4 linked regions of the Cricetulus griseus genome follow. The protein of the gene in region 2 purifies or fractionates together with the protein of the main gene of each other region. This does not show direct contact. Links are inferred from orthologs where the notes say so. Each region holds a gene or a part of one and is shown on either strand. Other genes may lie near its edges.

What was found.
Region 1: the proteins of Rfc4 (region 2) and Hnrnpu fractionate together in Homo sapiens (co-fractionation; 3 studies listed by BioGRID and IntAct, with this or other methods). This does not show direct contact. The link is inferred for Cricetulus griseus from reciprocal best matches to the Homo sapiens genes RFC4 and HNRNPU.
Region 3: the proteins of Rfc4 (region 2) and Atad5 purify together in Homo sapiens (affinity purification with mass spectrometry; 5 studies listed by BioGRID and IntAct, counting the BioPlex papers as one, with this or other methods). This does not show direct contact. The link is inferred for Cricetulus griseus from reciprocal best matches to the Homo sapiens genes RFC4 and ATAD5.
Region 4: the proteins of Rfc4 (region 2) and Rfc1 fractionate together in Homo sapiens (co-fractionation; 7 studies listed by BioGRID and IntAct, counting the BioPlex papers as one, with this or other methods). This does not show direct contact. The link is inferred for Cricetulus griseus from reciprocal best matches to the Homo sapiens genes RFC4 and RFC1.

What each region holds. Positions count from the first base shown.
Region 1 is NC_048598.1:15,824,233-15,831,876, reverse strand, and holds the end of Hnrnpu (heterogeneous nuclear ribonucleoprotein U), read right to left. Parts: intron 6,928-7,644; coding exon 6,664-6,927; intron 6,543-6,663; coding exon 6,423-6,542; intron 6,044-6,422; coding exon 5,915-6,043; intron 5,830-5,914; coding exon 5,661-5,829; intron 5,463-5,660; coding exon 5,208-5,462; intron 4,962-5,207; coding exon 4,780-4,961; intron 4,569-4,779; coding exon 4,497-4,568; intron 4,044-4,496; coding exon 3,990-4,043; 3' UTR 2,948-3,989; downstream 1-2,947. UniProt on the Homo sapiens protein: DNA- and RNA-binding protein involved in several cellular processes such as nuclear chromatin organization, telomere-length regulation, transcription, mRNA alternative splicing and stability, Xist-mediated transcriptional silencing and mitotic cell progression.
Region 2 is NC_048597.1:65,802,147-65,810,484, forward strand, and holds the start of Rfc4 (replication factor C subunit 4), read left to right. Parts: upstream 1-4,240; 5' UTR 4,241-4,392; intron 4,393-4,407; exon of another isoform or gene 4,408-4,536; intron 4,537-5,260; 5' UTR 5,261-5,271; coding exon 5,272-5,396; intron 5,397-7,264; coding exon 7,265-7,343; intron 7,344-8,338. UniProt on the Homo sapiens protein: Subunit of the replication factor C (RFC) complex which acts during elongation of primed DNA templates by DNA polymerases delta and epsilon, and is necessary for ATP-dependent loading of proliferating cell nuclear antigen (PCNA) onto primed DNA.
Region 3 is NC_048600.1:93,534,495-93,542,748, reverse strand, and holds the start of Atad5 (ATPase family AAA domain-containing protein 5), read right to left. Parts: upstream 4,728-8,254; 5' UTR 4,357-4,727; coding exon 4,291-4,356; intron 1-4,290. UniProt on the Homo sapiens protein: Has an important role in DNA replication and in maintaining genome integrity during replication stress.
Region 4 is NW_023276807.1:132,326,409-132,334,052, reverse strand, and holds part of Rfc1 (replication factor C subunit 1), read left to right. Parts: intron 1-1,833; coding exon 1,834-1,941; intron 1,942-4,104; coding exon 4,105-4,284; intron 4,285-4,860; coding exon 4,861-4,965; intron 4,966-7,448; coding exon 7,449-7,644. UniProt on the Homo sapiens protein: Subunit of the replication factor C (RFC) complex which acts during elongation of primed DNA templates by DNA polymerases delta and epsilon, and is necessary for ATP-dependent loading of proliferating cell nuclear antigen (PCNA) onto primed DNA.

The sequences.
Region 1 (7,644 bases), on a different chromosome or scaffold from region 2:
TTCCAGAATACACAGGTCCTAAACTGTCTAATGATGCTGAATATAATATAGCAAGCTCCATATGCTGGCTCAGCTTTGTTTTAAAGGAGCCTCTCCACCCAGACTTCCTTCTTTTGCTACAAGTATAGAATAGATTCTAGCATATGGCTAACAGAATATTGGCCTATCACTTACCCTACTGGCATTGGGCTTGTAATTAAGATGCTTCATTGTCTAAGTATTGCTTAATCTTCTGAATCCCACCTTGCAAATTATGTGACATTCTAGAGCATCTCAATATTCAACCTCATGTCCCTTTAGTCAATGGGGAAAGAAAATTCATTCCCAGAGTTCTGGCTTTCAATCTGCTGTTTGACATGAGTCTGACCCATGTGTTTTCAAATAAACTAGCATACACTTTGTGAGATACTTCAAGATCCCTGGTTCTAACTGCTAGTCTACACTACACTACTAGTGTACACTCAAAGGGTGTATAGATCACTTCCAAATGTCCAAGGGCTTTGGCAAAAAAAAAGTTAGTGACAAGGATTAATGAGACAAAGGCCACACTCCAACATGAGTTAGCCAAACAAAGTTCCTTGAATACTTGTCTCTTACAAGTATGTACCCACAACAAGGAAAAATAAATACCAGGGCCTGAAAACTCAAAAAAAAAAAAAAACAACTGGATAGGCTTTCCTACCTTTTTATTTATAAGTTGAAGCAAAAGTTGTATCTACATCTCTGCTCAAATGCCAAGCTACAAATCATACTCAGAAAAGGTTCCCCAGGGAAAGCAACTGTTGAGCCACAAAGCTAGTTATTCCAAGCTTTGTGACTTATATTGAGTCCTTTTAAGTGACCGTGGCCTAACTATACTCTGAATGGGTAGGTACACTAACCACATAAGGGTTCTTTAACGTTTTGGTTTAATTACTATTAAAGTTACAACTTAGCAGTTCCCAAACACTACTTCCAATACCCAGGCACCAGAATATTTAGTATAGAAAAAATTAGACTCAAACCACCTTATGAATTTTATCCCCAAATTGATTTAGGCAAATGTTTTTTTGGTTATCTTTCTAGGAAAAATAACTGAATGAATACTGGAATGTAATCTGCTACAAATTGTTCACTTTAATAAAAAATATATTACATTTATGTAAGAAGGAATTTATGGGCTTTATACTTACTCTTTTTTTTTTTAAAAAAAAATCAAATATATTCACACTGATGCACATGCAACTAGGCTTTAACAACTGCACACTACCTAAAAAGCTATCAGTCTTTTTTATACAGTCTAGTCTATTAGACTTGAATTAATGAACAAGCTTATAGAAAAGTCATTAAGAGGGAATCTTAAATTCAAGCCAAAATGTAACCTCAAAGTTAAAAATACTGGTTTTGTCTTCTAGAATCTAGAAAATGGCTTATAAGTTAACCATAAGCCTTCTTAGTCACAGCCAAGGTCTTCAATATCTACTTGGATCCTATCAGAAACTTGAGACTATACCAATTTGTTCTATCTTGTATACTTCTACAATTGTTATTAATCTACAATATTTTCCTAAGTACTAGTGTTGACCAAACGATGTGGCCCTGTTCCCCAGCTTTTGCTCAGCAGGCAATGGATTTCACTAAGGTAAGACCTTTAAAGGGCCCTACTATAAAACATGTAGCCAAGGCTTGTGGTAATTTTTCTGCCCCTCTGTAGATTACAGGCCTTTGCTGCCATGCCCAGCTTGACTGAAAGCACATCTTGAACCAAAAGCAATCCTGTTTTTTGTTTTTCTGGTTGACACATTATTTCAAACCAGTATTTTGCTTATCACTGGGCATGTTTTTAAGTCAATTCTTTCCTTCAGGTCTGATTTCATCAATATTTTTAAAATAAGTCATTTTCCTCCCCTTTGTATGCAATCACTCTTACTAAATCACTAAAGAGAATTTGCAAGCATAGATGTAACTGCTAAGTGTAGTGTTTACTGCCAGAAGGCATTTTACTTTATCAAGTCCTACTTTGTTAGCTGATCCCCTTTCTCCTTTTTTTCCCCCCTAAGTCTCTACTGCTAGGTCTTTGAAAGGCACAAACTAAAATATCAGGATAAACAACATTGATTAATCAGAATTATAAGGTTGAATTGTCCCCCAGGTTAGGAATATATAATCCTAATAATGTATATGCAGCAGTTACTAACAGTAAGTTTATTTTTAAGCCAAATGCCAAAGACACTACCTTTTAGTGTTATTTCTATTTCAACCTATTTAATCTAAAACTGGCTGCCTTGTAACAATTTCCATGAATATACTACAATAAACTCACATTTAAAAAACATCTGATTTAAAATACCTCAACAAAATCCTACAGAAACAGCAATATAGAAAACCTAAACTTACCAGAAGCAGGCTAAAAAAAACTGGCACACTAGACTAAATTCTAATTTTAGTTCTACACTTTGACTCCTGATTCTCACTTCACACAGTGAGGATCCTTTAGATTTAAGTGTTCTGTGCAAACCCAATAAAATTACAATTAGGGGATCTAATGTTATCACATAGCTAGTTAAGTTAGCAGCATTGTGTAGTAGTGAAATCAATGACTGGCTTGCATGATGGCTTCTAAAAGCATCTGTTCCCAAAGGTTCATGTAATAGTTATGTATATAATCAGGTGAGGACAGCCATTCACATTTCATAAGCATGATCAACTGAGCATTAACTTCTCCCAGCCAGTACCTTTGCCCCTCATAAATGTTAAAAGCCACCTGGGGGGGGAGGGGAAGGGAAGAATTCAGCTTTATATTATATAAATCAATTGTCAATATACATTTAAGTTTTTAAAACCTAAATGTTCCAAGTACAGAGTAAAAGAATAAGCTGTCCAGAAAGCACACACTTATAATTTCTCCTCTTGGGAGTTGTAGTATAAAGGGATTTTGAACCTTGATGGCGAGAATCCCAAACAAGAGTAAAATGAATTCTTTTTATTGCAAACAAACGTCTAAATTAATTTCTCCACCCACTTTCTTTAGAAAGAAAAAGAAATCAGCAGGCTAAGGAGATACCCATTCAAGAACTGACATGATTAAAAGATATAAATGGGTGACTCACAATTTCATTAGCTTACAAAGATGGTGGAGTTAACTACTACAAGCACACTAGTTATACAGTATTTTGTGGGAGAAGGGCATACAGACATAGCTAACTTCATATAGATCCCATTAGACAACTGGATTTACAACAAGTTTTTTTAATAAGAAATGGGCAAAGCCAGCTTTCTTTTCAGAATCAAAATGCAGAACAAATGGAAAAATTTATGGTATTTAACCTTCACAAGTTTGAGCCTCCACATATAATGCAACCAAGTTTACATTTTTAACAGCCCTTCTACATACACTCCATCTTCTCAATCTTGGTTCTAAATTTTATCTTCATTCCCAATTGTTCAAATTCCATTGTTAAACAGAAAAAAGAATAGCTTTCCCGGTTTGTCAGAAATTTCCTTTCCACTATTACCCACCAGTTTACAGAGAGGATGGAGTGTATTATGAGCAATACAGAATCTTATGCAATTCATGAGGACCACTTAGTCCTTCCATGAATCTGGTTGCTAACATTGCTATTTTATTGTGACAATGACTCCCGACTGTTATTCTCTGTGAGAAATGGGGGAGTAAATGCTTAATAAAAGACACCAGGTACAAAGCAACATTTTACTTTTGTTGTGATAAAAAAAAGTCACATTTTACAGATAAAATGTAGAACCCTGAAATACTGACACATTCTCTTATCGTGCACAATGCTGAGGTTCTCTTACGATTCACTTTAAAACTGCAATTAAAAATGTACAAAAAAGAAAAGAAAAAAAAATCAACCCACAAAGCTTCTAAAAAAGGAACCCGCAGGCACTTCCTCTTGTGGAATGTTTAAAAAGTTAGCCTACTAAAGAAAACAGTCGACTTCTTGTGAAGGTTTTGGAGAAATATGTATCAGTTCGTTTTATTTGGGTATTCAATAATATCCTTGGTGATAATGCTGACTCCATGGCTTCTGACCCCAGAATTGCTGTAAGAGAAAATTTTGTTTTTAAAGAAAAAAAAACATCAATAAGCCACTCAAATTGTTTTTAGGAAATGACAATGATCTAATTCAGAGTAATTGCTGGAAACAAATTTATACTTGTCACACTTAATTTCTACATCAGACCAGAGACTTAGTTTTAATTTACCAATTACCCATATTATTTACCAATACACATTACAAAAAGAAACACAAGACTTGGGTTAGTTTACGTAATTAAAACTATTAAAAAGAACCATAATAAAAACACCGTATGTAGTAAATATTACTTTATCTAAAAATCTGTTAAAACTCCAGCCTATCCATGGTTACAATTTATAACACAGTAATAAGACTATAATTGTATCAAACACTTCAATCCCTAGATAAGAACTTCCGATCTGATTCTTGTAAACATAAAAACTACAATTTATGTAATTACTTAAGAAAACTACTTACACCCTGCTGCCACTGGTTGTAGCCCTGAGATTGATTTTTGTAGCCACGATTGTTTCCTCGTCCTCTGAAGTTCTATGAAAGGGAAAAAAAAATATCTGTAAATAGGTCTGAAGTAATGCTTGGACATTTTAAAGGGGCATGCTGAAACCCTGTATACCCCTGGTCATTGTTGTTACTGTTAGTGCATCTGAAAAGCAAAGATCATTAAACTAAACTGCTTCACAACTATGTCAATGCCACCTACAACTTTCTAGGTCAAATTATAGATGCTAGCTCCTCTTACCTGGTTGTAGTTCCCTCTGTTGGGCATTCCACCTCTGTTGTAATTTCCTCTGTTCGAGTAACCACCTCGGCCAGGAAAAACAGGGCCCCGGGGGTATGGGTAGCCAATTCCACCACTTCCACCACCGCCACCTCTCTGTGGCATATTGCCTCTCCTATTATATCCGCCACGATTACCAGGAGCTAAACACAAGAAGAGTTTATTTAGTCCTGCCATAACCTAGAGTTCAGTCCAGTTACAGCATTAGTGAAAAACAAATAATGTCATACTTCACTACTGAATATATAGTATGAATTGTAAATTACATACTAATTAGACATGGCAGCATAAAATATCTAAGAAATTAACTTCTTTAGCTACTTGACAAACTAAAAGATCCTCTGCTCACTTTAAAATTTCAATCGAATAGAATATTAAAATTAACTTGCCTCCACCTCTGAAATTGCCACCTCGCATATTGAATCCTCCACGTCCTCTATGGCCACCACCTCTGTTGAACTGGTTCTTGCCACTCTTATTTTTATTGCTCTTCTTTGAGCCAGTATTTTGCTTCTTTTCTGGTGGGAGTGCCTTTTTGCTTTCTTCCTTGTATTGCTCCAAAAGCTTTTGGGCTTCTTCCTTCTGAAGTTCAACATAGGTTATTTCATCAAAGCACTCAGCCACCTCTGGCAGGGTAAAATTTCCTATAGGGAATAAAGTCAGATTAAAATTATAAAACTATATTTGTTCATGGATAGCTTAGAGACATCTTTTATAAACACATTTCTATTTGCCAAATTAATATAATTCCTAACAGTGCTGGCAGTTTTAAAAAACACTTTTCAGGCATAACTCACAGAAACAGACTTAAGACAGTAAGTAATAACAGGAAAACTCCATGCCTTTCATTTTAAGGACAGCATGCTCTGGTAGGTCTTTCCCCTCTACTTCTGCTTTCTTCTGTGTCCTCTGCTTATAGTCTTCATCTTTTGGGCAAACTACGACAGCTTTTCGCTGGAAGCCTGCAAACAGGCACATTTTTCTCCTTTGGGCCGCAGCAGACACATTTGTCTTAAAGGGAAAAGTGAAGAGTTAAAAGACATTAATCTCACATCTTATCAATTAATATTAAAAAAATTTCAAAGCTTTTGCTCACCTGATCCAGAATAAAATTCCGCTTCTTGCGGGCAGCAATCTCAATAAACTTCCCAAGACACTGTGGAGCTCTCTGCAACAGCGTGTTCAGTTTTCCAGTATCTGCCATTTGCTTCTTAAAACCTGCCACCTACCAAAATTTTTCTTTTACTTTGTGTATTTTAAAAGCTCTGAACTGCACATACAGGACACCAGGCACCATTTTTACAAATTCAACTGCATCCTTTCATTACTACAATAGCTTTTATGACCTTGCTCTTTAAATTGCTGTTCAAGGTTAATTTATGGGAAAGCAATCACTAAAGTACCCCACTTTGTTTTAGCCAAAATTCTTTTCTCTAAGATATTAATAAGAGAAACACAAGCCAAGGTTAACCTAGGATAACTTCTGAACCCATTTACTATAATTCTAAGATTAATGTCAGGGTACATGTAATGTATACTAGGCAAGTAAGTGTTCTTCCTCAGAGGTATCCCCTAATATTCTTGACACTTTAAATTTTACTTACCATCATTTTGTCCATAATGGTATTTGTTCCAAGAATGTTGTATTTCCCAGGGTTTTCAGCTGCATGCTTAGTAACCCAGGTAGTTTTGCCAGCTCCTGGCAAGCCAATCATCATTACAACCTACGGGGGGGACACACACACGACAGACTATTATTCATCAGCAAGTATTTATAATTTTCCCATCATTTAGCCTTGCTCAGTTTATGAACAATCTACAAATACCACATTGAAAACAACTTACTTCACAATCCTTCTTCTCTTCAGGTCCCTTTGGTCCTCTAACTCTGTCCTCTAAGGGGACATTTTGGATAAAAGTATAGTCTTCAGGTATTGGAAAATATGGCTTTTCCTTTTGACCAAAATTAAATTCAACTGCACAGTTATGGCAGAGCACGTGCGGGAACAGTGGCCGGTCAGCAAGAACTTCCTTACTGATCTTGAAGGCAACACCAAGGTCTTGTCCATTCTTCGCATAGGAGAGTTCAACTTCATCAGTTTCAAAGTTCTGTCAACAAAAGTATTTTAAGCCAGCTTGAAACTATTTTGAGAGCTTTCTAAACTTGTCAAGAAACAGGAGTAGACTCACCCTGCAGTTAACATGTTTAAGCTAAATGCTGAGATGTAATGATTCAGGATTTAGAGGGTGTTTCCCAGGCCATTCATTTTTTAAAAAAAGATTTATTTATTTATTATATGTACAGTGTTCTGCCAGCATGTATGCCTGCATGCCAGAAGAGGGTGCCAAGTCTCATTACAGTTAGTCCTGAGTTCAATTCCAGGCAACCACATGGTGGCTCACAACCATCGTTATTATGAGATCTGATGCCCTCTTCTGGTGTGCAGATACACATGGAAGCAGGATGTTGTATATATAATGAATAAAATCTTTAAAAAAAATGTTTGTGATCCTTGAAATGTCTTTCCCCCCAATTTTAACTGCCTTGTTTCACAGCAGGGTTCCATGTTGGGTGTATTCCTCTGTCATTAAACCTAGAGCTGGAGGCTTCATTTGTTTCTTCTCCACTCCCACCCAAACCCAAGTTAGATGCCCGCTACTGTGCTGATTTTACACTGGTGCAAGGTTATCCAAACTCTGATGCTCACACAGCAGAACTTTACCTGCTGAGCCTCTTTTCCTAAGGCCCTGTCTTTAACCCAGAATCAGTATGTAAGTTTAATCACACGGATAGTATTTCTTTAATCTATAATATACACACACAGC
Region 2 (8,338 bases):
ACTGACATTCACAGTCATGTGACCCTCTCCAAATTCTTATAGTCCTGTTTGCATTGTTCCTGGTGATGTTTCCCAACTGGCTGGAACAGCCAAGTGTGGAACTGACCCCTGCATAGATAGACAGGCATGTAGATCTGCAAAAGGAAGAGGCTGGCCCATCCTCTTGGTTTTATATATGTTTATTTTCTTCCATAACTGACTTTCATTCTCATTTCCATCAGATCCTAGAGTGGTGGTTCTCAGCCTATATGTCTCGATCCTCTTGGGGTCACATATCAAATATCCTGCATATCAGATATTTACATTGTGATTCATAGCAGTAGCAAGATTATAGTCATGAAGTAGCAACAAAATAATTTTACGGTTGGGGATCACAACATAAGGAACTATATTGAAGGGTCACAGCATTAGGAAGGTTGAGAAACACTGGCCTAGAGCATAAAGCCAGACTCACATGGGCCCCTTATACAGATGGTTTTTGTGCAAAGGGCCGTGGGACTGTACAGCAGTGACAACTAGTATTTAACAAGTTGACCCACTAGACATTGCTGGAGAATCCTACTAGGCAACGCTGACTCACCAGACACTATTGGGGGCCCCCACTTGGCAAAACCGTGGGGTTATTGACTGGATGACTGGTTGTTCCTGTAACTTTCTCAGGTACCACTACTATGCCTCCCAGCCCTTTGGTGCTGTGTTTTATACTTCTTGGGAACACATGTAGCTGTGGATACTCAGGAAGATGATGCTTAGATTGTATAATTTTGATGAACAGAAATAACACTATGATATTTTACATTGCTCAGACTGCCATAGGATTCTCAGTCACAAGGAGACTTTTGCACAGACAGACTTCAGAGCAGATTCAAAGCAGGCTGGTTGCCCTTGGAGACAAATTCACGAGGTCATTTTCCCAGGCATTGTTTTGCTAATTCAAGGCCAGAGTTCGAAGTAACGTTAGTCTGCACATACTCCTCAGTCTCAAGGTTCAGCCAACTGTCCACTGTCTGGAAGCCCTCACCAACTTAGAGCTACGTGCTAGGCCACTTGCAGTAACCAGTCGTTGTGACATTCCTAGCCTGAGAGAAACTGCATGACTTAACGTGTTGTGAGTATGGGTTGAGCCCTGAAAAATAACATATAATCGTCTGGAGCCTGGCTGTGAGAGAGGGAGAGGCAGACAGCAGAGAGTGAGACCAGAGGAGAGGTGAGAGAGTTGGGATGGTGAAGCAGAGAAAGAAGGAGCAGCGACGAAGGGGCAGCAGAGGCCAAGAAATGCACAAGGCTGCTATGAGAGAGAGAGAAGTGTGAGAGTTGAAGAAGAGAAAGCATGAGATAAGTGTGAGAAAATGAATGAGCGAGAGTGAGAGGGTAAGGAATGGACGATGGAGGAAAAGTGTGTGTATGTGGTGTGAAAGAATGCTGTGGGAAAGAGGGATTGCTATGTAGAAGAGCTGTGCATGGGAACTGTCTAAAGAGTTGCACTGTGAATGAGCTGTGTAAATGAGATGCATAGCTATGGCAGTGTGGAGATTTGTAACTGTAATTGTTATAAAAATAAGTAACTGGGCAGGAGAGAAATGTCTCTATGTAAAAAGATTGTCAAGAAAGAGAGATTATTGGGCTGGAGAGATGACTCAGCCGTTAAAGGCTAGGTTCACAACCAAAATATATAAGAGATCATTTAAGTTGAAGTAAAGGAGAAGTCACCATCAGGAAACTTGTCCCTTTTTTAAGTTACCAGCAGAAATCATGTTACCCTCAAATAGAAAAGTCTAGCTACCCTCCAATAAGAATCTTTCCCAATATTCTGAGGCTTTCTTTTTATTAGCCTGGTGCTGACTGGGGACTGATCCCCTCCCAAGTCAACTACATTTTTGTATTTGTCCATAAGCAGTGGGGTTTTCCTACTGACATGGTGTCAGAACAGTCCAAGAATGAGTGCTTGTGAGAAAACTCCAAGAAAACAAGCCAAGAGTTTTGTATCCTGTTTCTTCAAAACACAGGTTTGTTCTTGAATGCGCTTGTGTGCCCCTCCAAGGTGTAGAGGATAAAAGTGAGTTTACTTCAGATTACAACTAGCTACTGCTATTTGTTTACATGCCTCTATGGAAAAAAAAACAAAAACGGTTCTGCCATGCACAGCTTATCCTTGTGATGCTACACTTTCCTCATGTGACTCTTCTTAACCTTTGGAGTACCAACTGTCTGATGCCCTGAATAAAGTTAGTTATTATGTGAGACATTAGTCTGCCTTGTTTTGAGGCTCCATTCTCCCAGGTCCCACAGATTTTAGAGTGGTAAACAACAAGTTTTTTCAATTTAGGCGCTCCTGTATAGTTTGTTTTCTCACCCCCACTCACAGTAACTGGGCTATTTTCTGGAAGGATATCAAATAGTGTAATGACAAGCAACTTTGTCTGTCTTGTGCTGGACAATTTATAATGAATGGATGTTTGCTTGGTTCTTGAATCTGGGAAATTTCAACTTAAGGTGCCACCATCTAGTGAGGATCTTCCTCTGAGCCATCTCAAGGGGGAAGGGAGACTGCAAAGAACAAAGTCTTTGATTACAACATGAATCCTGGAATTACTAAGGACAACACTGGGGGTTGATTACATTGGGGTTTTCCACCTGAGTTTTAGAGGAGACAAGATCATAATGTCCACTCACCAGAAACCTTCTATGACAAACACATAGTCCCAGACACTAGAGATTGTGACCCTGTTGGTGTGTGTAAGGACTGGAAATGTACTTCTTACAAACCCCTCAAGTGCTTCTGATGCAATCCAGCCTTTGAGAACTGTGGTTCTAGAAAATGAGCCTGATTAGAGAAATCTAGAAACATTTCTGGTGGAAACAATAACATTTCTTCCACCGAGGGGCAAAGGTCAGTTGATCCAGTTGAGGAATGGCAGCCCCAGGAAGGTGAGCATCTGTAGTTCCTGTGGATAACATGAATCCCGACAGTGCAATAACTAGATCAGTCTTTACGGTTGGATTCGCGGCTGGCAACTATCTAACTATCTAACAAGGCTGGTCTATCTAACTATCTATCTATCTAACAAGGCTGGTCTATGGACTTACTGGGCTAACATGAGGGCATCTAAATGCAGAGGTGGCTAGGAAGCAAAAGGCTCACGTGGACTAGGAAATCCTCAGCAGGACATGCTGTCCAATGGATGTTAGCACATGCTACAAAGATATTCTCATTCCCTTCTTTTGTTTGGCCCTAGACTCTTTCTTCAGGCGGGTGCTGGGAAGCAAACTCCAGGCCTCTGGAAGAGCATCAAATGCTCTTAACTGATGTGCCACCTCTCCAGCCCAACCACTAGATTTTTGAGTGGCTCTCAAGAATCACAAGATAAGTAGATGGTCCTCCCTCCCTGCAACAAGCTGACCTTACTTAAAGGCAGTAAAAGACACCTGCTCTGGGCTCACGAGTCTGCTCACTAGGTAAAGAAAACTGCCTTCAAGACCATGAAAAGGGACCTTTTAAAAAAATATATTTAATATGCACTGGTGTTTTGCCTATATGCACTCTGTGTGAGGATGTCAGATCCCCTGGATCTGGAATCACAACAGACAGTTGTGAGCTGCCATGTGGGTGCTGGGAATTGAACCCCAGGTCTTCTGGAGGGACAATCAGTGCTCTTAACCGCTGAGCCTGAAAAAGGAAAGTTTTTCAGGTATCTCCTTTCTTTAGTTTTGCTGAGTGTGTGTGTGTGTGTGTGTGTGTGTGTGTGTGTGTGTGTGTGTGTGTGTGTGTTTTGCCTGAGTGCACGTACATGTGCACCACATACATGTAGTGGCTGCGGAGACCCCAGGGGGGAGTTGGAGCCCCTGAACTGGAGTTACCAATGAGCCACCAGATGGATGGGTGCCGGGTATCAAACTCAGGTCCTCCCCAAGAGCAGCCAATTCTTTTAACCGCGGACCCATCTCTAGCTTCAGACGTCCCATTTCTTAACAGTTTGCCCTGTGCCCATTCAGGATCGGCTCGGGGTGGGAGCAGTACTCTGCCGGGTGCCCCCTTCCAGCGAGTAAAAGCGTCCCGGCCCGGCCTTTGGGGTGACGATGGCAGCAACGCACACCGCTTGCTTAAAACGGGTCCTTCGAGACCTCCCCCGCGGAGCATGCCGGGCCTGAGGCCGAGTCAACCCGCGCCGCACTCGGCCGTGACGGGAGCGCGTCAGAGTCTGGTCGCAGGGTCCTCACAGATTGCCCCAGTGGAGGCCCGCAGCCGTAGCCGGTAGGGGCGCCTTTCCAAGCCTAACCAAAAAGACGCGCGTCACCCTGGCCCGCGCGCCGGAAGTGACTCGCGCGTTCCCGCCGTGCCTTTCGCCGCCGTCCTGTGGCGGGAACCGAGGCATCTGAGGGACGGTGGCGACTGTAAGTGTCCGTTCTGGGTGTGCTCGGCCTGGGTCCGGGCTGGCGGGATCCGGGCTGAGTCCTCCACCTCCGCGGTGGTCACTGCAATCCGCGGCTCGGGCGGCATTGTATGCAGCCCGCGGCGGGAGGCCGCAATCCCGAAAGGTGACAAGAAACTGGCCTTGGACCAGACAGTGACCGCTTGCAGTGTTTTCTCGAGCCTTAATTAACCTGTGTGCCAGGGTTAGAACTACGTGTTTGCAGCCATTTACTTAATTCATTTACTTTATGGAGTCGTCTTTAGCCCCGTCCTCACATTTCATTTGGTAAAGCAGAATGTCTTGGAGCCAAACACGTCTAAGCACCGACTGTACAGCAGTGGGGAAAGAGAGAGAGAGAGAGAAAACAAAACAAAACACATTGCCATCGATGCTGGGAGTTATTAGAGAAGCCGGTGATCGTGGAGGGCTGGTGGTTTTGAAGCCCCTGAAAATAGCCTGTAAATGTGCTTATGTCTTAGTTAGGTTTTGTATAAATCTTAAACATCCCATTTTTGATTTCTTATTTTGAGTTTATCAGAACAGTAACGGTTGCCTCTATAGCAAGGTCCCACTTTCCCCTCCCCACCTCCAAGTCTCTGAAAACCAGCATTGGCTTTGCCAGTAAAGCCACGCTCAAGGCCCAAGAAGAGATGCTATTGGTCAACAGCTTAGATTTGTCTCAGAATTCCTTCCCTCTTATGACCCTGTGACCCCGAGTGCATTCATAACATCGTAAGTCATGAGATGATGCACTTTAGCAGTTGGCCTCTGCACAAGGTTGAGTGTCTTTTCATTGAGAACTTGCTCACAATTGTTTCTTTTTTCTTTTTCTTTTGTCTTATACCCAGGAGAAGAAACCATGCAGGCATTTCTAAAAGGCACATCTGTCAGCACTAAACCACAATTCACCAAGGACCGGGCAATACCTACAGGAAGCAGTGGAGAAACCAAGAAAGTCAAGCCAGTTCCTTGGGTGGAAAAATAGTAAGAATTATCCATATTTTTGTTGAAATAACTAAGTTTCCTCCCTAATCTTTTATAGTCCACTGGATTTTTGTTTTGTTTTAATGTAAGGGAGATTTGTGGTATTTAGATGCTACTACCTTTGGGGGGTACAGTTTGGGGGGGTCTTAGATACAGAAATGAAAACGTTTCTGTGAGCTGGTTATAAATAGTAGTCCTATTGAAATCTAGATTCTGGCCCTCTTTTATTATTGTATACTGGAAATTGTTGGGGTTTTGTTTGGTTTTAGTATATAAAAGGTTTGAAGTAGCACTAAATTGTCAGCTAAGTGATACTAGACGTAATTGTAACCATTAGCTAGATGTATTCTCTGATTATCGAGGGTTTTCAGGTTATTTACAAGCCAAACAAGGTCCTAATAAATGACTTATGATAAAAGTTACTAGCTGGCAGTACAGGACTGATCCAGACCCCTGAACATGGATGTCAATGAGGAGGCCTCTGCACTCTAGGAGGCCCCTGGTAGTGGATTAGTATTTTTCCCTGGTGTAAGAAGGGACTTTAAAGCCCATCCCACGTGAAGGGATGCTCTCTTGCCCCAGACACATGGGGGAGGGCCCAGGCCCAGCCCAGGATGATGTGGTGGACTTTGCGGAGCCCCCATTGAGGGCCCTACCCTTCCTGGGGAATGGAGGGTGGATGAGATAGGAGGGGTGAGGGGGAGAGGAGGGAGAGGGAGAAGGCATTGACATGTGAAACAAGCTTGTTCCTAATTTGAACTAATTAAAAAAAAAAGAAAAAAATATACAAGGATACACTCAAAAATGGTAAATAAATATGCTTTGCTACTAGAAAAAAATATTGATGTGAAATAAGAGAAAAATCATGAAAATTGTTGATTTCCAATTCTTAAAATAATGAAATAAAAAATTACTGAGTAAATTAAAAAAAAAAAAGTTACTAGCTGGGAGTGGTGGTTTGTATATACCTCTAATTCAAGCACTCAGGAGGCTGAGACAGGCAGAGCTCTGAGGTCAAGGCTACCCTGGTCTACAGAGTGAGTTCCATCGAGGATAGCCAGAACTAAACAGAGAAAACCCCGTCTCAAACCAAACAAAAGGTCTCCTTTGGTGTAGTTAGGTGTTAGAAAAAAATGGTACTGACTATTTAATGCATTAGCTGATGGATGGGTGTGTATATGATTATTTTAAGCAAAGTAGTTGCCAGTTATTAGATTTATTATTTTATAAACTAGACAAGTGTTCCCCCCAACACACACACTTTTTTTTTTTTTTTTTTTTTTTAAGTACAAGGTCTGACTGTATAGCCCTGACCTAGAATACTTATGTAAACCAGGTTGGCTTCAAACTCAGAGATTCTCCTACTTCTGTCTCCCTTGCTAGGATTAAAGAGGTGAGCCTCCACACCCAGCTCACTTTTTTATTATTATTAATTTATTTTTTATATTCCAATCCCAATTCCCCCTCCCTCTTTTCCTCCCACTCCCCCCCCCATCAAGCCCTCCCCTTAGGAAGTCTGCTAAGTCTGTCCCATTATCTAGTTGAGGCAGGACCAAGGCACCTCTCCACCCCCACACCCCTGTGTCAAGGCTGGGCAAGGTGTCTCTCCATATAAAATGCATACCTGGTTCACTTTAAATTTAATTCCTCTGCTTAATATTTTGTGTGTGCAGTACAGGTAGAGGCAAAAATAATTTCATTTCAGTAGTATGTATTTGCTTGAGGTAAATACACATGAAGATTCTGCCTGCTTCCAATTTCATAACTAATATGAGAGCACTATTATTGGTATTTTAGCAGAAGGAACACTTTGGACTTTTCTGTGGCTCCATATATGCTAAATAACCTCCTTTCCCTCCATCTGTTAGTCGTCCAAAATGTGTGGATGAAGTTGCTTTCCAGGAAGAAGTGGTTGCAGTACTTAAAAAGTCTTTAGAAGGAGCTGATGTAAGTAGATGGTGTTTGATGGCACTGGGAAGTTAGGGTTTATTCACCTCTTCCTTTATTTTAACCTCTTATCCATAAATATAACCTTATATGCTATAAGTCTTTGATGCTATTTATAAAACAATAGTCATCTTCTGTGTGACGTTCTTATGTAGTATTCAAGTAAAGACCACTGAATAGCTGGGTGATGGTGACACATGCCTTTAATCACAGCACTCAGAAGGCAGAGGCAGGCAGATCTCTGGGAGTTCGAGACCAGCCTGGTCTACAGAGTGATTTCCAGGAAAGCCAGGGCTACACTGAGAAACTCTACCTAGAAAAACAACAACAAAAAAGATTGCTGAATAAGAGTAGGACCCTTTCTCCGTGAGCTTTTATTTTGGAGAGGAAAGAGACTAAACAAGTAAATCAAGAGGTATAAGCATGTAATAAGTAACAGGTTATAGAAAAGAGTCGATTTTAAAATAGATATAGTTGGCTGGGTGTGGTGGCATGTGCCTTTAAATCCAACACTCCAGAGGCATAGACCAGCCACAGTGAGACCCTGTCTAAAACATGTGTATGTGTGGGTGCCTTTTTTTTTTTTTTTAACAAGATTTACGCTGTCTCACAATGCAGGCAGTGAGGACATGGGACTTGAGTTGGATGCTCACACTGCATTTATGACCAAGAAGCATAGAGATGAATGCTAGTACTTATTCCCTTATGCCCTAGTGCTCCTCAGTGAATCTAGAATATACAATCAGTCCTACGTCCCAAGTCTCTCCCTCATCAACTTGACATTCAAACATATAACTTAAGCTATGATATTCTATCCCTTGTCCCCTTAGGCTGATGACTAGCTTATAATGTAAAATGTATTCAAAATAATTTCAAAAATTCTGTCTTCAGCAGTTCTAAAACTGTTTAAAAGCATAAGAACAGAGACTCTTCTGAAACTCTATCTCTAAGCTGTGAGTCCCTTACAATTCCAGCCAAGTCACATAATTTTAATG
Region 3 (8,254 bases), on a different chromosome or scaffold from region 2:
ATCACTGAGGAGATAGAGGCAGGAGCATCAGAAGCTCAAGGTGAATTTAGTGAGTTTGAAGATAGTCAAGGCTACATGAGACACTGTTTGAAAGAAAAAAATCAATGACATAACTAGAAAAAGTAACCAACTTCTAGAAGTAGACTCTACTTGAACATGGATCAGCACATAGATTTAGCTCTATTCTCTAAATCCCTAGAGCAAATAGACTTTTGATGCATCTTGAGTATGACTAGGATTCATCCAGCTACTGGCTCACTAACAACTGTGATCCCATTTTTGGCTGTATATGTTTCTTCTAAAGGTTTCATGGGTTTACCTTAGAGCACAGGGGATTTGAACTGTGAAACAGGTAGGGTAGCACAGAACAAATTAACTGGTCTGATTTTCTGTGATCTACATTTGTCTTCTTGACTATCTGTGAATGATACGGATCAACCAGAGTAAGGAAGTATCTTACTGTTCTGAATTTACTAGATTACAATATCTAAGCTTACCTTTAGAAGGATATTATTTCTCATTTAGTTTCTATGTGTATTGTATGTTTTAAGTATAAACAAAAGCAGGGCATGGTGACTCATACTATAGTCCCAGTACCTTGGAAGCTGAAGCAGGAGGGCTACAGTGAACTGGAAGCCCTCCTAGCTTGCACAGAGTTCCAGGTCAGCATGGGCTACAGTATGAGAACTCAAAGAAACAAGTATAAATATAAGCTACTGACAAAGACCCTTAAACCTGACCTAGAAATTCACTAAATTAAGCAAATATGTTGTGGTGGTTTGAATAAGAATGGCCCTATAAGCTCATACATTTGAATTCTTAGTAATCAGAAAGTGGCACTATTTGAGAAGAATTAGGAGGTGTGGCCTTGCTGGAGAAAGTGTGTCACTGGCAGTGGGGGTGGGTAGCCTTGAAGTTTCAAAAGCCCATGCCAGGCCCAGTCTCTCTCTTTCTCTCTGGTCAGGATGTAGTCTCAGCTACAGCTCCAAGCATCATGAGTATTGCCATGCTCCTACCATGACAATGGACTAAACCTCTGAAACTGTAAGCAAGCCCCAATGAAATGTTTCCTTTTTAAAAGTTGACTTGGCGTTTAATCCCAGCACTCGGGAGGCACAGGCAGGAGGATCTCTGTGAGTTCGAGGCCAGCCTGGTCTCCAGAGAGAGTGCCAGGAAGCCTCCAAAGCTATACAGAGAAACCCTGTCTGGGGGGGGGGTTGCCTGGTGGGGGGGAAAGGAGGAAGGGGAAAATGGGGTTAGTATGTAAAATGAAAACTAAATTTTTTTTAAGTTAAAAAATAACTTGCTTTGGTCATGGTGTCTCTTCACAGCAATAAAACAGTGACTAAGCCATATGTATATAAAACCAAAATGATCAAAATGAGTTAATAAATGCATCAGTAACTTGCATAACTAAAAATGCATACTACTATATTGGTCACAAAATAATTATTGGTTATGCATAGTCACACATGCCTTTAATCCCAGCATTCAGGAGACAGGGACAGACAGACATCTCTGAGTTTAAGGCCGGTCTGTCTAGTCTATATAATGAGACTGTCTAATAAACAAACAAACAAACAACTCCATTAGTTTTTATACACACCCCACTCCCTCCTGGTACAAGCACTCTACCAACTAAGCTACTGCTCTAGCCCTAACTTTTTTCTGTCTTTTGCTTCATTGAACCCAAGCCTTCCAATACTAAATAAACTCACCCTTGAGCTATATTTCCATCCTACTACCAATCTAATTTCTCAGCTCATTTGAAAAAGTACATCTGCCAAAATAACAAAAACTTTATTTTTAAAGACAAGTAATAAGGATGAAATTTTTATTTTTAGAAAATTCAAATGAATTAACAGGGCTATTGTGGTTAAAAGCATAGTACTGATGCTGCACAAGTAGGCAAGAAGCTCAATGGAGTGTGTCTGAAAAGCAAAACCAGACAAGGTTATGTAAGAATTCATACAGGGGATCTCCGACACGGCCCAGAAAGCAAAGGTACTTGCTGTCCAGCCCAGTAACCTAGTTTGATTTGCCAGGATCATGGTAAAAAGGGAGCACCTCTTCCCACAAGTTGCCCTCCACACATATGCTGACCCCTGCACTTACAATAAATAAGCAAATGTAGCAAAAATAATTTTTAAAAAGAATTTAAGTGGTAAAACTAACATCCAAATTAACAGATAAAAGACTAAGAGATGATAGTGGGACAAATTCTGACCATTTAGATAAATGAGGTAAAATACAAGCAAAACTATGTATGTTGAAATAAGTGAATTAAAAAAAGAATCTATTATTATGGTCTATAAAGCTTTGAGATGGTGTCAGAGACATCACACAACAGACATTCAAGTCAGAATTAAGTTAAAGTACCTGCCCTGATATCTACTAGTATGGAAATCTATTTTTTCTTTTTTTTTTTGTTTTAAAATTTTTTAAATTAGTAACAAGCTTGCTTCACATGTCAATCCCAGCTCCCTCTCCCTCCCCTTCTCCCCCTCCCCACAACAACCCCCAAGCCCCCATTCCATCCCCCCTCTGCTCCCCAGGGAGGGTAAGGACCTCCATGGGGGATCTCCAAAGTCTGTCATATCATCCCAACAGAACTGTGACTATGGAGCAAGCAACACAAACTGGCAACTTCCCCTGGGAAGAAGCATGGCTGACTGATCCTGAAAACACAGGATCTGGAATGGAGAAAGTCATCAATAATTGCTTGTGCCATAATTACGGCACAACAATGACTAAATAGCCATAGAAATTAAAAACATTCATGTGATGGGGCTGGAGAAATGGTTCAGCAGATACGAGCACTATCTGTTCTTCCAGAGAACCAGGGTTCAACTCCCAGCACCCACATGGCAGCTCACAGTTGTCTGTAACTCCAGCACCAGGGGATTTGACACCCTCACACAGGCATACATACGGGCAACCAATGTAAATAAAATGAAGATAAATAAATCATTTAAAAAATATGTGAAAAAGAAATATTTTTGAAACCAAGTTCTTAGGATTATAATTAGAAACTACTAAATATGCTACAAAGAAATGTAAGCTGGCTGTGCTTGCACAAGCCTGGGCTACATGGGATCCTGTCTAAAAACTAAAACAGGGCCAGTGAGATGGCCCAGTAGATAAAAGCACTTGCTGCCAAATTGGCAATCTGAGTTTAGGCCTTGGGAACCACAGGGTAGACGAAGAGAACTGACTCCTCCTACAAGTTGTCCTCTGATTTCCATACTACCAATACACAACTGTAAATTTATAAACGTAACAAGAAATAAAAACAAGTTTGAAAATGTATTGAAAGCCTTCCACCCCAGCACTCAGGTGGCAGCGATAGGAGGATCTCTTTGAATTCTAGGCCAGCCTGATCTATAGAATGAATTCCAGGACAGACAAGACTACAGAGAGAAACCCTGTCTCGAAAAACAAAAACAAAACAAAGAGTTAGGACTGAAGTGAGCACACATCTTAGCTCACTTCAAAGGCACCACAACACATTAACTAAAATGCTAGTCTGAGACATGGTATATTAAAAAAAACATAGCAGCTATGAAGAGGCACAAGCCTGTAATCCCAACATTTGGAAAGTGGTGACAGGAGGATCAGTAGGTCCGAATCCAGCCTGGGTATTTTTCTATCTACATATACATATCAGCCATGTACTTTAAGATCCTAGCCACTACTTAATCGCATAGAATATCATTATGGTTGCTTAGTGTATTTTTATTTCTTTCTGTAAACCAGGGCTTCCCAGATTAAGCACTGTCTTCAGCTTAGTGTACTCTTGAAACGCGGTAAATACAGAACACCTAACATGTCACAGAGACTCTTAACTACATTACATTAAGCTCTGCAGCCTCGAGAAACCGACTTAAATACCTCACTTAATTCTTAAGTGACATTCCATATGGAATTCCTAGGACAGATGTTTGTGTGTACGGACTAGACGCACTTAAAGCTTTTTCGCTGTTCTATGATTCCACATCACGAACAAAGAATTGGAGCCTGAGATCCTCGGTGACATGTCATTCCACCAATGTTTCAGGACCCGGGAACAGTGGTTTTCAAATCTTGAGCTTACAGCGAGCCCGAAAATTTCTGAGAATTCCACTGAGGACTTAACCACGATACACCGAGGCAACCATCCCACACAAAATTATAGCTGCGGATCATCACATCACTCCTTCCCCGTCTCAGAAGCAAGCAGGACTCCCACCACCCCCACGCCACAATTCGCCAACACAGGCAGGAAAGAACTTGACAGATCCTCGAGCTCACCTCAATCTCGTAGTCCTTGACTGGACGGGGAGCTGCAGCCGCCGCCATGGTCAGGACCCCCACCATGATCCCTGCCTCCCAGAGCCACGGATCCTAGGACCTCAGGCGGTCCGGCCCAGCCTGGCTGGAGGCCATGGAGGCGGCCGGTGCAATGGGAGCGAGCTGCGGGGCCGCGGGGTCCGTCACGGGTCCCCCAGAGCCCAGCCGGCGGACGCGAGTGCGAGGCTGGGCCCAGGGCCGTCCAGCCAGGCTTCGTCGAGAAAGCGCGGGCGCAGGCCCCGCGGAGGCGGCCGGACAGTGCACGGTGACCCCGAGGCAGGCGCTCCAGGCTCAGCGTTCGAGCCCCGGGCCGCAGTGGGCGCTGCACACGGAACGCCGATCAGGCCTTGGGCTTCCTGGGACTTCTTGTCAATTGGGTTTTCGCGCCGTCCGGAGCGCAGGGGGCGGAGCCTATGACCGCTTCTGGAGACTGGGCCTACGGTGAGCCACTAAGACCAAACTATTTCGTTTGGCGAATCAGCAAGCGACGGAACCAGGTCTATTTGGAATCCTAGTGGGACTTCAGACGTTCGTGACTCGGTGTTACAGGCGAGTTTGACCATTCAGGACGTGATTTCTCTAAGGCTACCTAGTCACTTGGTGGCCGAACTAAGACTTAGACATAAGGCATTTTTTTTTTGTTCGTTCGTTCGTTTGTTTGTTTTTTTGAGTCCTGAATGTTCCAGAACTCCGTTTGTAGACCATCCTGGCCTCGAACTCACAGAGATACGCCTGTCTCTGCCTCCTGAGTGTTGGGATTAAAGGTGCCTCCACTGCCCAGCGACTGTAGCCATTCTTAAAATTATATTTTAAAGCCAGGAAGTGCGACTTTAATGGCTTTAATTCCAGCACAGCCTGGTCTACATAGAGTTCCAGTTCAGCCAAGAGAATCTGTCTGATAATACATAGATAGATAGATAGATAGATAGATAGATAGATAGATAGATAGATAGATAGATAGATAGATAGATAGATAGATAGAGCAAAAAAGAGAGAAATAAATGAGTGAGTGAATAAATAAATAGAAAGGAGTTAAGACGACGTAGAAAAGCCGGGTGGTGGTCTACATAGAGTTTTAGTTCAACCAAGAGATTCTGTCAAATAAATAAATAATAGAAGTTTAAAAGAGATAGAAAAGCCAGGTGGTGGTGGTGAATATACACTTTTAATCCCAGCACTCGGGAGGCAGAGACAGGCAGATCTCTGAGTTCGAGGCCATCTTGGTCTACATATTTAGTTCTAGGACAACCAGGGCTACACAGAGAAACCCTGTCTCAAAAAAAATTTATTTTAATTTTATGTGTATGAGTGTTTTGCCTACATGTATGTATATGTACTATGTGTATGCCTGGTACCTGTGGAGACCAGAAGAGGACATTGGATCCCCTGAGACACCATGTGGGTGCTGGAAACCAAACCCAGATCCTCTGCAAGAGCAAGAAGAACTGAGTTCTCTCTCTAGCCCTCAGATACAAAAAGCATGTGCTTTGTTACTGAGCTACATACCCAGCCCATGATTTAACCATTACAAAGAGTATGTATAAAACCCTGCTACCTTGGTTAAAGATTTAACTGCTCTATAGCATCGCCCACAATGGAACTTCTCCTTTCATGCTTTCATCAGATAGGTTAGTAAACACACTGTGGCATAACCATGTCATAACCATACAATGGAATCCTTCTCAGCAATAAAAAGAAATGAGGGCTAGGAAGGTAGAGTATTGGAGAAACACCTCCCGTTCACAAGGTGGTGGTATCAATCCTGAGCATTGCCAAAATGCAACTCTAAATCAATAAAAAGCCAAGCATGGAGCAGGGGGTTAAAGAGGTGACCCAGCAGTTAAGGGCACCGGCTCCTTTTACAGATGACCCAAGTTCAATTACTAGCACCTACATGGCAGCTCACAGCAGTCTATAACTCCAGTTCTAGAAGATCCATCACCCTTTTTCTGATCTCTGTGGCACCAAGCAAATAGCAAAGAGACATAGATGCAGGCAAAACATTTGTTCATAAAAAATAAATAATCTTTTTTAAAAAAGCAAAATCAAAATGGTACTGGAAAGGTAGCTCAGGGGTTGAGAGTGTACACTGGGCTGCACAGTAGTGGCGCACACCTTTAATCCCTGCACTTGTGAGGCAGAGTCAGGCAGATCTCTTTGAGTTCAAGGCCAACCTGGTCTACAGTGAAAGTTCCAGGACAGCCATAACTGTTACACAGAGAAACCTTGTCTTGGAAAACAAGCAAACTAACAAACATAAGAAGACAGCCTTAGGGAGGGATGGCTCAGAGGTTAAGAGCACTCCCTGCTCTTCCAGAGGTCTTGAGTTCAATTCCCAGGAACCACATGATGGCTCACAACCATCTGTAATGAGATCTGGTGCCCTCTTCTGACCCACAGGCATATCTGCAGACAGAAGACTATAAATAATAAATAAATCTTTAAAAAAAAAAAACAAGGAATGCATACTGCTCCTGCAGAGGACATAAGCTTGGTTACCAGCCCCTAACTCAGGCAGCTCTTGACAACCTGTAACTCCAGCTCCAGGGGATCAGATGCCCTCTTCTGAATTTCATAGCCACTCACTCACATCCACATACCCAGAGACACACAGCTATTCACATAATTTAAAAATAAATAAACTTAAAAATAAAAGGAAAATGTTAAGCATAGTTTTGGAGAAAGGGAACAGTGTTAAGAGTGCTTGATGTACAATCATGACAACTGCAGTTTCCAGCCAGCAGCCATGTAACAAACTGGGCATCTGTGTCTGGCTGTAACCCTAGCTCTGAGACCAGCAGAGACAGGAGGATCACCAGGCCTGGGCTCCAGCCTAACTGAGAAGCCATGAGTGCATGTTCAGGGAGAGACTTCCGCAAAGGAGTAAACAAAGTGACAGACTCTCTTCTACCTCCCAGAGTACACACAAAGACACACTTACCCCCCATCAAATAATAAATAAATAAATAACTTTAAAGATAATAGGGGGAACTGGGATTGGTAAGTAAAAATAAAAAAGATTGTTTTAAAAAATAAACATAAGCCGGGAAGTGGTGGTACATGCCTTTAGTCCCAGCACTCAGGAGGCAGAGGCAGGCAAATCTCTGTGAGTTTGAGACCAGCCTGGTCTACAAGAGCTAGTTCCAGGGCAGCCTCCAAAGCCACAGAGAGACCCTGTCTTAAAATAAAGTAAGTAAATAAATAAATAAAATAAAATAAAAAAATAAACATAAAAAAATTAAATAAAAGTTCCAGTTGGGTGGTGGCGGGGCATGCCTTTAATCCCAGCACTCGGGAGGCCAAGGCAGGTGGATCTCTTGTGAGTTTGAGGCCAGCCTGGTCATCAGAGCGAGTTCTAGGACAGACTCCAAAGCAATACAGAGAAACCCTATCTCGAAAAACCAAAAAAAAAAAAAAAAAAAAAAAAACAACAACAACAAAAAAAAGAGTTCCAGGCCTAAGCAGGGCATGGTGGCACTCAGGAAGCAGAGACAGGTACGTCACTGAGTTCGAGGCTAGTCAGATCTACACAGAGTGCCAGATGAAGCAGGCTACAAGGAGAAACTCCTTCTTTAAAAAAAAAAAAAAAAAGGTTTGGGCTAAAGAGAAGGTTCAGCAGTTAAGAGCACTGGCAGCTCTTCTAGAGAACTCTGGTTTGATTCCCAGCACCAACAGGGTGGCTTACAGCTGTCTGTGACTCCAGGTCCAGGGAATCTGGCATCCTCACACAGACATACATGCAGACAAAACACAAATGCATGTAAAATAAAAATATAAATAAGTTTTTTTTAAAAAAGTTCAGCCGGGTGGTGGAGGCACTCGCCTTTAGTCCCAGTACTCGGGAGGCAGAGGCAGGTGGATCTCTGTGAGTTCAAGACCAGTCTGGTCTACAACAGCTAGTTCCAGGACAGCCTCCAAAGCCACA
Region 4 (7,644 bases), on a different chromosome or scaffold from region 2:
TAGTCTTGACTCTCTGAAGACAGAGTAGCAGTGTGAACATTGAGCCTTCAAGCAGTCTGGAGCCAGGTTTAGATCACAGCTCTACTGCTGAACAGATACGTGATCCTGATTTGGTTACATCTCTGTGTGGATGTAGAATAGACATAAGATGATGCCTTGGGCACCAACGAGATGACTCATGGGTAAGGATCCTATACCTGAGTTCTGTTCCTGAGACCTACATGGTAGAAGGAGAGAACTGTCTTCCACAGTTTGTTCTCTGACCTCCACACATGTTGTAGTGCACGCGCGCGCACGCGCAGACACACACACACACACACACACACACACACACACACACACACACACACACACACACGAAGTAAATGTAATAAAAAAATTTTAAAATGTGTTTAATGATTTATACAACCATTTAGAGCAGTGCCTGGGATGTAACAATTGCTATCTGAATTTTAGCTTTTGCTTGAAGTATCAGTTAACTTTTTGCCCTCAGATTTTTCTTCACTAAATACTTATCTGGTGGAAAGGTATTTCTTCAGGCATACTAAGTACATGGGGAAGTTTACAGAGGGTGACTATTTTGGGGGAGGAGGAGATAAAAGTTTTAAAAAAGTGATACTGTTATTTTTATGGTGTTTTCAAAGCTGGACTCAGTAACTCAGAACCCGTACGTAGGAACATTAGAGTTTAGTAAATTCAGTTGATCTTAGTCAAGTAATTCTGACATAGTAAGTGAATATGCTTCAGGTGTTTTATAGCCAGTTGTGGTGCATACCTGTAATCCCAGGACTTGGGAAGCCGAGGAAGGAGGATTGATAGTTTAAGGTCAGCTTCAGCTACGTAGTGAGACCTGTCACAGAACAAACAACAAGGCAGGTAGGCATGCAGAAAGTCCAAAGTTATTTCACATTTTTACAAGATAGAATTACTGCTACAGGGGGCTGAAGAGATGGCTCAGAGATTCAGAGCACTGCTTGCTCTTCCAGAGGTCCTGAGTTCAATTCCCAGCAACCACATGGTGGCTCACAGCCAACTATAATGAGATCTGGTGCCCTCTTCTGGCATGCAGACATACATGTAAGCAGAATACTGTGCACATAATAAAGAAATAAAAAAAAAAAAAAAAAAAAAAAGAATTGCGACTACAAATGAGTGACGCTCCCAGTTGTATATGGTTGTTAAAAATATGGCTTCCCAGGGCACATGGTCTAGGCAGCTGTATTTTGATAAGGACTTTTTTTAGTGGGTGAGAGCCATTGTTAAGTAGGGTTGGGGCCAGATGTGATGGTATATGCCACTAATATCAGCACTCAGGAGGCAAACATAGGTAGATCTCTTGAGTTCAAGGCCAGCCTGGTTTACATAGTAAGTTCCAGGCCAGTCAGGGCTTCACAGTGAGACCCTGTCTCAGCAACAACAGCAAAAGGCTTGGATTCTAAGATCAGCTGCAGTAGTTGGTTTAACTCAAAACCAGCTTAACTATCTTATTGATCATATCACTTATTTATGCAAATGAATATTTTGTCTACTTTAAGAGATTTGGAGTTACATTTAAGTTAAAAGCAATATAAAGTAGGAATTGGAAAAATAATGTAGTAGTTCTAAAAGTTATCTAGGGGACCCTCCCCAATATACACGTGCTAGATACATCCAGTATCTCTGAATCAGAAATACATGCATACATACATACACACACATACATGTATCTCCATTTATATCTGTCTGTCTACCTACCCATCCATCCATCCACATCCATCCATCTAAATTAAATGTAATTCTTTCTAGGTACATCTTAATTTTACATGACTTTTTTTTCTTTCCCTGTGTCCAAAGTCTGTAAGTCCAGAAGATTCTGAAAAGAAGCGTACTAATTATCAAGCTTATCGAAGCTACTTAAATCGTGAAGGTCCCAAAGCTCTGGGCTCCAAAGAAATACCCAAGGTAAGAGTCACGAGGATTGTGCTACTCTGTGCTACTCTGCCTCCTGTTCCAGCAAAGAGCCAGTATTAACAGAAAGGTCTCAGCTACCTTTTTATGAATTAGAAGTTCTTATTTACATTGTGACTCACTGGTGTCCTTTAAATAATAAGTAGCCTGAGAAGGGATGTGCTTTTCCATGCCTTCATGGACTCAGAGCTTAAGGAAAAGCATGGTAAATGCATTAATATCTGATAGTGATTGTAGTACCGTGCTGTGAGAGAAAAGTCCTAGGTGCTCTTAGAGAGTATAGTAGAGAAACATGGATGATCCTGGGTGGATCATTTAGATCAGTGGTTCTCAACCTTCCTAATGCTGTGACCCTTTAATACAGTTACTCTTGTGGTGACCCCAACATAAAACTTTTTGTTGCTACTGTTAGGAATTGTAGAAAAGAGAGCCTTATCATAGCCTCTATATAAAGATGGGGGTGAAAACCAAAGTGGGATTGACAAGTAGCAGCCCAGATGTGAGAAAGAAGTCTGATGTGAGTGGTATAGGAGAAGTGCAGGCAAGAAAGGTGATTGAGTGGTATGATCTGCTATGTTGTGAAAGTTGCAACAATGAGAAGACTCAGACTTGTCCATTGTATTTAGTAACGTGAGTGATGGTCCTTAATGGCCCCAGCAAGAACAGTAGAGACAACTGATGCAGTGGCTTCAAGAGTCTGAGGTGACAAATGGAGACGTGTTTTTGATAAGTTTGGTTGTGAAATAGAAATGAAGAGTGGGATTTAAGGGAAGAGGTGAATGTTTTTAAGGTTGGAGGTGTACTTAAGACGTGTTTCTTGCTGATGGAGTAGACCCTCCCCAAGGGAAGGATAATTAACTGTGCCATGGGGCTTCTGAGAATCTAGGAGATAAATTTGGTAGACATTTAAATTTAATTTTCACTTTGCTACATAAGGCGATTAGAAGTTCCCCTAAGAAGAAAGGGTAGGTAGCTAGAGGGAAGGGAAAGGGGCTGGAAGAAGAGATCAGCCTTGCCTCCTGTATAGGGTGTAACGCTGAGAGACTGAACAAGTAAGTGCCTGTTGGAGGACTTTAGGGCAAATGGTGTCCCTACGGGACTGCTGTGTTTTTGTGACAGCAAGGCTGTGAGGGAATGTTGAAGAGGCTGCCAGGAGTTTCCTGGAGTCAGAGCTGTAGAGGAGTCTAATGGATGAGATGGTAAGGACGCTGGTGAGGCTGAGCTTGGGTCAGTAACATGATATTGTGAGCTCTAGTGGGAGAGCACTAGGGAGACAGTAGTTTGGGGTTTGAAAGGAGGAGCTTCTTGATGTGGAGTTCTCCAGGGTGACTTGGAGTCTGTTGTGAAGATTTAATAGTTCATTTCACTCCTAGAAATGGAAGGACTGAAGAGAAGCTGTTAGCCATTTTCCCCTTTCTTTCTCAGTAAATAATAACTATTCTTTCCTCCTTTGTTCTAAGAAAGGTTCTTTATGTGGCAGAGGAATGATCAGCTTACGCTGGAATATGCTTCCAGTTTTCTTTAACTTTTTTTAAAATCTCAGTGCTATTCACAGAGTAATAAGGAGCAGGGCATATCATGTAGAATGACCATTTTGTTTGTATAATTTAGTTGATGTTATAAAAATTTTGAAAATCTATAACTGTACGGAGTTGTAGTTCAGACTTAAGAAGAGAAGCCCGGTCAGCTCTTAGATGGCCAGTTATCTTTGTTCTATGCTTCTAGCAGTTTCTTAGGTTCACTCTCAGTCGGGTAATGATCAGAGAATGATAAACGCTCCAACTTGATAGGCTTTCCAGAACCCAAGCTGTACTTTAACAACAGTGGGCTTGTCAGTGGGCAGATTACATTTGATTGTTTACTTGAAGCTATGAAAGCAAATTACTGATTTAAATATGAAAAGTGGAGAATTGCATGAATGGGTAATTTTAATTTTGGTAACAGTATGTTTTTCCTCATTCATTTGGTATGTGTTAAATGTTAGCTATGTAGGAATTCATCAGGATTTACTTTGAGGTTCTGCTGTAATTTCTATCTAGGTTTCATGCTGGGGTCTTTATTCATCATTATTTATGATGTCAAGTCAGCTTGTTCAGCTATATTTCTTTGGAAAGCTACCTTGTAATTTCTTCTCTGCTTGAACATTTTGGTTTTTAGGGAGCTGAAAATTGCTTGGAAGGACTGACATTTGTGATCACAGGCGTGCTGGAGTCCATTGAACGGGAAGAAGCCAAGTCTCTAATTGAACGTTATGGGGGCAAAGTAACAGGAAATGTGAGCAAGAAAACCAACTATCTCGTTATGGGCCGGGATAGCGGACAGTCCAAGAGTGACAAGGTGGGTCCTGCTGGCGCTCTTCACAGTAGTACCTGCCTGCCAGTGTGGCTGTTTGTGGTAATGCTCCTGGCCACATTACAGTTAAAAAAGAAGAGAAAGAACGCCTTCACCCTGTAGTTTTGTCTTCTTCACATACCGTATGTGTGTTTTTGGTTGTGACTACAGATTTTGGTTTGTTTAATTGGAAGCATCGTTGCTATTTACTTGATTTTCTTTGTGTATTCTAGTTTTAAAAATATTGTTAACATAGAAACATACAGGTTTTTGTTTTGTTTTGTGTTTTGGTTTTTCGAGACAGGGTTTCTCTGTGTCGCTTTGGAGCCTATCCTGGCACTCGCTCTGGAGACCAGGCTGGCCTCGAACTCACAGAAATCCTCCTGTCTCTGCTTCTTGAGTGCTGGGAATTAAAGGCATGCACTGCCACTGCCTGGCAAAATCTTAAAAATAATTAAAAATAAATTCTAGTGTTAATTTACAGTGTGGTGATTCATCTGCTAGTAAGCCTTAAAGTAAAATTTCCTCTCCAACAACAAGTAGTTTATATGGAGCTCTGATGACTTGTATTTTAATCAACAGGCAACAGCTTTGGGAACAAAAATCCTTGATGAAGATGGTCTGTTGGATCTGATTCGAACTATGCCAGGCAAGAAATCCAAGTATGAAATAGCTGCTGAAGCTGAGGTGTGTATAAGACAAACCTGGTTTATTGAAGTTGGTATTAGAAGCCTCCTGTTTGATAGAGATGCACAATAGACAGTACTTTTGGCTAGAAAATCAAACTCCTGTGTAAAACAAGTAAATTCACCTTCTTTCTTTTTGACCTGGAAGACTGTCTCAGCATGTCTTTGGTGTTTCTTTACTTTTCAGGGGAGGAGAGAGGGAGTGTAACATATAGTGTGTTGTGTGTAACCTACCTTCTCATCCTTATTGTCCATATATATATATACATCTCATAACATACATACATGCATACATACATACACACACACACACACACACACACACACACACACACACATATATATTTCAAGGTTAAAAAATTTACTTAGCCTTGGCTGGTAAGGAACTTGATATGTAGAGCAGACTGGCCTCAGACTCAGAGATCTGAATGCCTCTACCTCTGAAATGCTGGGATTAAAGGCATGTGCCACCACACCTGGCCTCAGTTTTTAAATTGTGTGTGTGTGGGGGGGGGGGTGGGGGGTGGGGGTGTATGCATGCTCTTGAATGTGGTGTCCACAGAGGCTATAAGAGGGCATCTTTCTCTAGAACTAGAGTTCTGGGCAGTTGTAAACCACCTAATATGGGTTCTGGGAGCTGAACTTGGGCTCCTCTGCAAGAGAAGTAAGTGCTCTTAATTGCTGAGTCATGTCTTCAGTCCATATTCTGTATTCTTGTAGACTTTACATGGCCCTGCCTGAAAGTTTTGTTTTCTATTCTTTGTTTTTTAAAGAGGAGTTTATTAGTATCTTTAGTGAAACTTTATTAGGAATTTTTCAATTATGATAGAAACTAGTCTCTGTTGGCTTTCAACAAAGGGGAGAAAAAAAGAAGAAAGAGTTGACTCACATCTAAGCTGGGGGCAGGATGAACTTGGTCCATCCTTCTGAACCCTTCCATTTTCTGTGTTTGCGCCTCCCAGTGCTGTCACATTGATTCCACTATCTATCTGTGTGTCCACATGCAGGACACAGGAGTGCCTGGATGCCAAGATTATTGTCCCTTGTACCACCACCAGTGTGACAAGATGGTCTGCCCAGTTTATTCCAATAGAAAAGTCCCAGGGGATGATGTAACCATGGTCAAGTTGCAATAAGTAGGGAATGAATGTTGCTGCTTCATGGTTAGCTACAGTGTTTGTTCACCACACTGCACCTTTTCTCTGCTCCAGGTTCCTGCACTACATTGACTTGTGCTGTCTCAGCCTCCTCCAGCCTAGGGTAGTTCTGTCTTTCCTTATTTTATCCTGGTTAGTTGTTTGTAGAATGTCTATCATGGCATTGTGTTACATTTCTCACAATTAGATTGTGTTACCCAGTTTGTCATGAATACCACAGGGTTATACTGTGTCCCTTTTAGTGTGTCTCATGTACATGACATTGATAAATCTTGTTAACTTGGTTGAGATAGTCTGCTGGTCTTCTTGAGTGGATAGTTATTTTGAATCTTCAAAAATGTCTTCTCTTAAATGGTCATTCATAAGTTCTAGCATTACTGGAAGGCATTTAACTGTTTTAGAGATTAAGATTATTTACATTCCTCAAAGTTCACCTATTTAAAAAAAAATCATAATTCACACCTGTGCAGCGATCATCATTATCTAACTAAAAATTATATATTAAGTTTTGATAGTATGTATTTTATGTGTCTGGGCACATGGTGTGCATGTGGAGGTCAGAGGACAACTTGCTCGAGTTGGTTCTCTCCTTTCACAATGTGGGATCTGGGGAGTGAACTCAGGACATTAGACTTGGTGGCAAGCACCTCTACCCACTTGTTGACTCAGTTAATGCATCTAACTCCAAACATTGTCATTATCTTCAAAAAGAAATTTTGTACTTATTTAGAGTTGCTTGTCATACCCTCTGCCTGGCAGTCACTGTGCTGTTGTTTTATGGATTTGCCTATTATGGACATTTAATATAGGTAGAGCCATACCATATGAGGCTTTTGTTTTTAGCCTTTTCACTTTTTATAATGGCTTCAAGGCATATCAAGTTGTACTTTGAATTACTATTCAATCCCTTTTATGATCAAATGTCCCATTGTGTGGATCTTCATAATTTTTTGTTTATCTAAGTTCCCCAGTGGATGTTGGGCTCTTTGATTTTATGGCTGTAATGTGTATGCATACCATATAATACAGCACTGTTCGGACTTTGTATATACAAGTTTTTGAGGAAAACTTGTAGTCAAGAAACTTTGAAACAGTTGTTGTTTACCCTATGACCCCATCTTTTTATTTTAAAAATGACCACTATATTCTTGGCTTTCTGAAAGCAGTGACTTCACACACTGCAGTGTGTGACTGCATTGTGACAGGAGCAGCCTAGATGGAGTAGCTCACTTTCCTGTGTCACCTTGCCTCTGGGTGTAGCAGGATAGAAATCTACTGTGTTTGATCAGGTTTCTCTCTCTTCCCTCTGCTCCCCCCCCATCTTCAGATGAAGAAAGAAAAGTCCAAATTGGAGCAAACACCCAAAAAGCATGAACAAGGAAAAAGAAAAATTAGTCCAACCAAGAAGGAGTCAGAGTCTAAAAAGAGCAAACTGACTCCTCAAAGGGACAGCCCTGCAAAAGCCATAAAGAAGGAAGCAGACATGTCTCGGAGGGGCCTGGACTTCACAGAGCAGGTCGTCA